Oryctolagus cuniculus: one gene and its partner. The protein of the gene in region 1 purifies or fractionates together with the protein of each later gene. This does not show direct contact. Links are inferred from orthologs where the notes say so. Each region holds a gene or a part of one and is shown on either strand. Other genes may lie near its edges.

What was found.
Region 2: the proteins of PPP1R7 (region 1) and SH2D4A purify together in Homo sapiens (affinity purification with mass spectrometry; 3 studies listed by BioGRID and IntAct, counting the BioPlex papers as one, with this or other methods). This does not show direct contact. The link is inferred for Oryctolagus cuniculus from reciprocal best matches to the Homo sapiens genes PPP1R7 and SH2D4A.

The regions. Positions count from the first base shown.
Region 1 is NC_091434.1:527,610-531,508, reverse strand, and holds the start of PPP1R7 (protein phosphatase 1 regulatory subunit 7), read left to right. Parts: upstream 1-1,428; 5' UTR 1,429-1,848; coding exon 1,849-2,017; intron 2,018-2,402; exon of another isoform or gene 2,403-2,442; intron 2,443-3,899. UniProt on the Homo sapiens protein: Regulatory subunit of protein phosphatase 1.
Region 2 is NC_091439.1:3,498,074-3,501,972, reverse strand, and holds the start of SH2D4A (SH2 domain-containing protein 4A), read left to right. Parts: upstream 1-1,361; 5' UTR 1,362-1,518; intron 1,519-3,899. UniProt on the Homo sapiens protein: Inhibits estrogen-induced cell proliferation by competing with PLCG for binding to ESR1, blocking the effect of estrogen on PLCG and repressing estrogen-induced proliferation. May play a role in T-cell development and function.

The DNA of each region.
Region 1 (3,899 bases):
CCTCTTAGAACCTACCGAGCAGAAAAAGCAAACCAAGCTCCAGAAAGCTGAGCGGTGGGCCACTTCCCTTACAAGGCAAGCCGGAAGGTAAACACAGGGCTGAGAGCCGCTGCCTGCCGGGCCGGCATCCTGGGTCCCGGCTGCTCCACCACCAGTGCAGCTCCCTGCTGTGGCCTGGGGAAGCAGCGGGGACGGCCCAGCTGCCTGGGCCCCTGCACCCCCGTGGGAGACCTGGAGGAAGCTCCTGGCTCCTGGCTTCCGCCGGCCGGCTGGGGAATAAGTCAGCTGATGGAAGACAGACCTCTGTGTCTCTCCTCTCCGTGTGGAACGCCTCCAAACAAATAAATACCACCCCCTCCCCGAAGAAAAGCCCTAGCGCTGTCCAGACACATTGCCGGCAAAAGGAAAGAACCGGGAGGCGGGGGCAGGGAGGCGAACGCTGCTGCTACCTGGGGAGGCCGGGCCCAGGCCTCAGAGCCATCTGCGAGCCCTGCACTCCACAGCCACGGCGGGCCCGCGGGCAGAGCCCGGCTTCTCCCACCGCCCGCAGGCGCCAGCCAGGCCTGGGCTCCCAGGGCGGCATCGGGAGAGCTGAGCCCTGAGGCCACGGACAGAGGTCCAGCGACCGACGTGGACAGGCGCCCAGGGGGCCACACGCCTAGGACCAAGGTGACCAGGCCCAGCAACGTGGGACGAAGCCGGGCATGGGGAGAGGTCACAGCTACCTGGGCGAGAAAGGATGAGGTCTAAAGGGAAGCGGACCCAGCAGAGAACGCTGCACGCCGAGCTGGCCAGGCTGGCATCCCAAGCTGCCTGGGCTGGGGCCGGGGCGCCCGTGACAGCCCCACTCGGCCCGGGAAGACCGCCAGACAGCCTGCGCCCCGCACCCACGCGAGGGACCCGGGCCCGGCCGTCACGGCCATCTGCGGAGCCAACCAGCGCAAGGAAGACCGAGTGACCACAGTGTGCCCGGAGGCGTTACCAGCGTGCGGGGCCAGGGGCAAACGGCCAGAACCCCGCCGCCAGGCCGCGACCGGGAGAAAGAGCGGCGACGGCGCGCGGGCCGGGCCAGCGAGAGGGCTGCCGGTGCCCCTCGGCCCCGTGCGGGGGGACACAGGACCGACAACTACCGCCCCGGGACCGCGGGGCGCCCGCCTGCCCAGGCCCAGGGACCTCACCTAGGTTCGGCCACAGTCACACCGCCAAGATCTCCTCAGCCCGCGGGAAGGGAACCGACCCGCACTTCCAGCCTACCTGCCAATCGCAGAGCTACTCTCGTAGATTGACGGGCCCTACAGGCCAATCGCTAGCGCGGGAAGGCGGGACTAGGAGAGCCGGCGCCTAGAAGCCCGCGCTAACGGTTGCTAGGGACGCATTGGACACCCCCCTACGGTGCCTCGCAGGCGCCAAAAGAGATGGGAAAGAGGCACAGCCCCGGACACGTCTACGGGCGGCCTCGTCTTGAGGGCGGGAGTGCCCAGGCAGCTCCTTCACAGGCCCTGAGGCCCGAGGGGCAGGCGAGGCCGCGACGCCCTCCGTAGCCCGCAGCGAGCGAGCTGGACCTCTCGCACAGGCCAGGTCCGCGCAGGGACGCCAAGGGGAAGCCGTGGAACTGGCCTGCAGCTGCTGTACAGCCGGAGCCAAGGCCAGCATGCTCGTGGAACTGGCCCGCACCTGCCGCCCAGCGGCACGCCTATCCCCGGCGCGCAGACCAGCTCTGACTTCGTGAGTCCTGCTCTAACCCCAACGCGTTCTTTCCTAGCCTCTGACCTCCACACTCCTCGGCCTTGGCTGCCTTAAATTACCCGCCCTGGGAGGCGAGGCGGGAGGCAAGGAACTACAGCTCCCATGAGGCGCTGCGGCTGGGCGCCGGGATCCTATTGGCCGGACCCGCTCGGAGCCGCGAGCCCTGATTGGCTGCGCGGCCTGAGGCGACGAGTTCCGGAAAGGGGACGAGCAGCCAATATGGCGGCGGAGCGCGGCGCAGGGCAGCAACAGTCGCAGGAGATGATGGAGGGTGAGCGGCCCCTGCGGGCGGAGGCGAGGGCCCTGCGGGCGGGGGAGCAGCGGCCGGCACTGGCCTCTGGCCGGGAGGAGCTGGGCGGCCCGCTCCGGGCGACGGCCGGGCCTGCCGGGAGGGCTCCGACAGCCCCAGGTCAGGCGGGGCGGGGGAGGCTCGGACCCGGGGAAGCCCGGCCCGAGGGCGGCAGCGACCAGGAGGACCCCGCGGCGCGGGGGCGGGGGCGGGGACGGCGGCGGCGCGAGCCCAGTCGAGGTGACGGCTCCGTGCGAGGCGGGGGCTTCCCGAAGGCGGGCGGAAGCCTCGCCCGGAGCCCCGAGATGGACAGGCGAGAGAGCGGTGCCGGGGGCCCCCGAGGGACCCCCAGGCTGGGGGCTGGCACCTGCTGGAGTCTGCTCGTGGGTGTCTGCGCCGGGGCGTGGAAGGGGCCTCTCGCGAAAGCGAAGGTATCGTGGCGACACCGGCGTTCCAGAAGCCGGGGCCTGTTTTTAAGGGCACCGTGGTTACGAAAAAGACCCCATTCAGCCTTCTTCCGCCTGTACTTTGTTGGGAAAGATGCAGACTGTGTGTGTGTGTGTGTGTGTGCGCGCGCGCGCGTTAACACGGCACGTGCGCGTTGTATACATGCTTACGCAAGAACACTTCAGGAAGTTCGTGGAAAATGGGGTTAAAAAAGAAATGCATTTTGGTGCAAAAAAAATTTTTTTTTAAATTCATGCAGGCCATTTTCATGATAGGCATTTTCCGTGAGCTTTCTGAAGACTGCATTTCTTCAGAGCCAGAGATGGGGTGCAGATCTCTGGAGGGAGGGTGCTGGGCTCGGGGCGGGGTCGTGGAGAGCCCTGCCCGTCAGCCAGGTTGGGGACTGGTGAGTGCGTTCCGAAGACCGCAGGGAGGCACAGGTGCCAGGGAGTCTGACCCAGGGGCTGGAGGGCCTGGACGTCAGGACCCTTGGTAGCAGAAGGGCACCCTTTTGAAGCCCACCCCTGCGCCCTCGTGAGCTGTGCCCACGTCTTGGTGGGTGGCGGTCTGGACCCACACCCCCCCTCGTCTCGGTCCTGAGCCCCCCACTGCCCTCCTCGCTGGGGGTGCTGCTCCTGCTCCTCACCCACCCGGCCCCGCCCCAGCCCCCAGACTCTCACGCCCCTCCCGTCAGGCTGACGTTGACCGCAGTGTGCCCGTGTCTGCCGATGAATAATGCATTAGGCCCCCGGTTCCTGAGGTGCGGGCACGGTGCCAGCTCCCTGTACAGACGGGGAAGCCGAGGCCTGGAGAAAGCACTGGGAAGAGCCACTGGCATTCCAGAAACATCTTGGGGTGAACCGTGAGACCAGATCAGACCCTCCAGCGACAGGGAGCACTCACCTGGGCGGCTGCCCCGGCCCACGGTTACCGCGTGGGGGGCGAGGCGTGGGAGCTGGTGGAGATGGTTCCAGGAGGAGCTACTCAGTCCCAGTGCTTTCCTGGGGGTCACTTGGTGAGCAGGGCCAGGAGGCATGTGTGTGTGAGAGCCCCTGGCCGACGCCCCCGTCCCGTGTTGGGGCCCCAGACTCCCAGCTCCGAGAGGGTCAGCAATGCGGCGATGGGAAAGACTGATTCTCGACTGCCCACCGCTGCCTTGTTCTTTAACTCAGAAAGGCGCAGTCCCAGCCTTTACAGCTGTGGCCCCAGCGCTCTGTCTGGGACAGTTCATGGCACTCAGGCTGTCGGCTGTGTTCCCCGCCTTCTTCAGCCCCACCCACAGTCTGACGAGAGTCAGTGTTTATTTATTTATTTATTTTTAAGATTTACCTATTTATTTGAAAGTCAGAGTTACACACAGAGAAGAGAGGCATAGAGAGAGGTCTTCCATTCGTTGGTTCACTCCCCAACTGGCCGG
Region 2 (3,899 bases), on another chromosome or scaffold:
TGCAGTGGAGGGTGGCCCAGGTGCTTGGGCCCTGCACCCCATGGGAGACCAGGAGGAAGCACCTGGCTTCTGGCTTCGGATCAGCGCAGTGTGCTGGCCGCAGCATGCTGGCTGCAGTGGCCATTGGGGGTGAACCAACGGAAGAGGAAGACCTTTTTCTTTGTCTCTCCCTCTCTCACTGTCCACTCTGCCTGTCAAAAAAAAAAAAAAAAAAAAAAAAAAAAAAAAAAAAAAAGACAGAAGCTATAGGTGGGGCCAGTGTTGTGGCTCAGTGGCAGTCACCGCCTGAGATGCCAGCATCCCGTATCAGAGCTCCGCTTCTGATCCAGCTGCCTGTTAATGCGCCTGGGAAAGCAGCAGAAGATGGCCCTCAAGTACTTGGGTGGCTCCATTTGGGAGACTCAGATGGAGGTATAGGCTCCTGGCTTCAGCCTGACCCAACTCCAGCCACTGGGGAGTAAGTAAACCAGCAAATGGAAGATCTCTCCTTCCCCACCACATTCCCTCTCGCTCCCTCCCCCTATGCCTTTCAAATAAACAAGTATTTAAAAAGCCACAGGTGTTTTTTTAGTATAATCCTGGAAGTAATGCATCCTTACTTTTGCATTTCTGTGGGTCACCAGGAGCAACTCTGGGACCTCATGGGAAGGAAGCTACACAAGACTGTGGGTCGCAGGAGATGGGGATCATTGGGACTTGGAGGCCAGGTGACACAGGAGGCAAAACCCATAGCTTAGGTGTGACGCGGTTAGAAGCTGGAGTTTACAGTGTGTGGTGTGAACGAATGTGAGCCAATGTGTTTGCACAGTCAGCACCTTAAAGCAGAAATTCTATCTGCTAGAATGACCACTGCATCCCCAGGTGTTGTTTCCTGCCAATGCCTGGTTCTCTAACCTGCGGCTCCAAGCTCCCACTAACTGTGAGCACCTTCTGCAGCTGGGCATGGGGTGGGGTAGCAAGGGGACCTTGCTTCCCTGGCCTTCCTGAGCGGGCCAGGCAGGCTGCGTGGAGCACACCCGGGGCTCACGGCCACCTTTGCCCACACCTCTCCGGGGGAGGCCGCCGCTCTCCCCGCACACAACTCTGTAGACCACGGCCACCCCACCCGTGCTAGCTTCCTCCTGGCTTCTTTCCTTTGCTGCCCCTGTCGCCTCCACCATTCCTTTCCCGTCCCGCCGAGCCACACCTGTCCGCACAAGTGCCCGAGAAGAGACAAGGCAGAGCGGCGAGTCGCGGGGCGCGCGGGACCCGGCCGTGGGGGCTGAGCAGGGCCGCCCCCTGCAGGCCCCGCGCCGCGGCGTGCGTGCGCGGGAAGGCCCGCGGCCGAGCCCTCGCGCACCGCCCGGCCCGGCCGTCACTCAGCGGCCTGTGGGCGCGGCGGCGGCGGCGGCGGGGCGGGAGCTGGGCTCCGCCCGGGCCTCGGCGTCTCGCGCGCGCCAGCCCGCGCCTCCACCACAGCTCCCGGGGCCGCCCTGCTGGACGTGGCGTGCGCGCCGGCGAGCCCAGGGCCGCGCACAGGTGGGTGCTGAGGGCGGGGGTGGCCGGCGCGTGGGGCTGGGGTCGTGCGGTGTAGGGTGTCCGGTGTCCGGTGTCTGACGGAGCCGGCGGCCGGGTGCGCGGCGTCCCGGGGCGCCCTGAGAGGGAGGGCCCGAGGGCGCACAGGGGAGTCCGGGGCTTCCGGCGGGGTCACCCTCAGGGGCAGGGCCATGGGGACCCTCTGCGCCCCTAACTTTCCCGGGACGCCCTCACGTGGGGTCGCGGCGCCCAGCACCCCCAGCTGCTGTCCCCGTGCTCCCTCGAGGGGGCGCCTTGCAGGTTTTCTGTGTGGGTCGCCGCTGCCTTCCCGGGGGTCTCAGAGAAGCCGTGGGCGCTGCACCCTCTTTGCCCTTACCCCCTCCCCCAAGTGGCTTTTGGCTGCTTGTTGAATGGGAGTGACTTGGGCACACTTACTTTGCACTTGTGAGGTGAATTTAAAGAGTAAATACGTGGAAAGACATTAGGCGGGCAGCCACCTGGCGCGCAAGTGGGTGTTTCTGGGCAAATTCGTGGATGCGATCATTTCAAATTCCCGAGAATGGTGGCTCTTCACACACTTTACCAAAATGTGCTGGCGGCCCTGGCAATCCCGGTGAGCCTTAAAAACAGCCCTTTTGCAGGTGGTGGTGGTGGGGTGAGATAACTTGAATAAGATCTAAAAAAAACAGGGCGAGCTGTTTGGAAACAGTCATCCGCATTTTTAACGTGAGAGGTAAATCGTGCCCACCTCAATGTCGTGCCCACGCGGATTTCAGCGGTCTTCCAGGTCTTTGGGTTTGTTTAGGTCTGAGTCGTTAAAAGCAGGGTTGTGTTCTACAACAGTGACTGGGGAGAAAAGTGTGAGAGTCGGGTCAGATCCGCCCAGAAGCCCTGAAGAAACTGGTTTCGGGAATCAGCAGCGAGGGGGTGGGCTCCTGGCTGGTCACCCCTGCCTTTCAAGAGGGAAGTTCCGTTTTATTGGGTCCTGAGCAGCCGGAAGTTTCCTGCACTTGGTGTTATCAGACCAGGAGAGCCATTCGGGTGTGGATCAGTGCTGGCAACGTTTGTGCCCGGGGAAAAACCCCTGCTGAGTGGATTTCTCCATTCAGTTTCCTGTACCCTGGTTCTCCCTGGCTTTGTAGCCTTACGCTCGGTCATGCTACATGGTGCAGATTCATGCACACTGCATGGTTGGGGAAACTGAGTCCCAGGAAGCCCCACGTCCTCCAGCTCGGGAGAAGGAGGGTTGGGAGGCCAGGCAGGGGTCCCTGTGGGTTTCTGTGAGCACACCGTGGGCATCCCAAGCCTGGTGGGGTGAAGCTGCTTCACGCTGGTGTGAATGAACAGCTCACCCTCAGCTGGAAGTCGGCGCCTTCCCTGAGGGTGGGCTGGTTGACGGTCCTGCTGGAAACCCACGTGGGTGGCCGGAGGCAAAGCCAGGCCACATAAACATGGAAAGAGCTTGATGCCATCGCAGACGTGCCCTGAGTTCTGCACACGAGAGAGGGGCTGCACCGGCTGCCCTGTGGCTCCCAGCGCGTGTGGAAAACCAGCGGCTGGGGAGCGAGCAGGGCAGACAGTGCAGGCAGGTGGAAATCCTCCAGCACAGACAAGGAGCGCATGGCTGACAGCGCTGTCCATGCTGCCTCTCCTGGGTGCGGGTTTTCTTTCTTTCTTTTAAGATTGTTTATTTATTTGAGAGGCAGAGTTTCAGAGAGACATTAGAGAGAGAGGTCTTCCATCTGCTGGTTCATTCCCCAAATGGCCTCAGTGGCCAGAGTTGTGCCCATCTGAAGCCAGGAGCCAGGAGCTTCTTCCAGGTCTCCCACATGGGTGCAGGGGCCCAAGAACGTGGGCCATCTTCTACTGCTTTCCCAGGCCACCACAGAGAGCTGGATCGGAAGTGGAGCGGCCGGGATGCAAACCGGCTCCCATATGGGATGCCCGCACTGCAGGCGGAGGCTTGACCCCATGGGGTGTTTTCAAACCTGATCCCTTCTCCCCTAAAGCTCATCTGCTGTCCACAGGGGTGGGGCTTCGGCCCCTGAGCGACACCCGTCTTAGGCCCCTTTAGGTCATCGTTTCCCTTGCCGCAGGCCCGGATGGTGTCCTGACGGTTCGCCGAGATGAATTCAGAAACCAGGCCCCTGTGTTGGGCAGTCTAGCGGGGGGCAGACTTTCCTGCCAGATGGCCCGGCTCTGCACCTCCCAGCCGGTGACCTGGGCCCAGCTTCCTCCCTGAGAAGGGGTTGGTGATGGGTTCCCGGCAGATGAAGTGAGTCAGTGCATGCAGGGTGCCCGGTAGCTCTGCCATCAAGAGGACAGGGTGGGGTGTGTCAGGGGGAGGGGGGAGAGAGAATGTGAATCTTACACTTCCAGGCTTT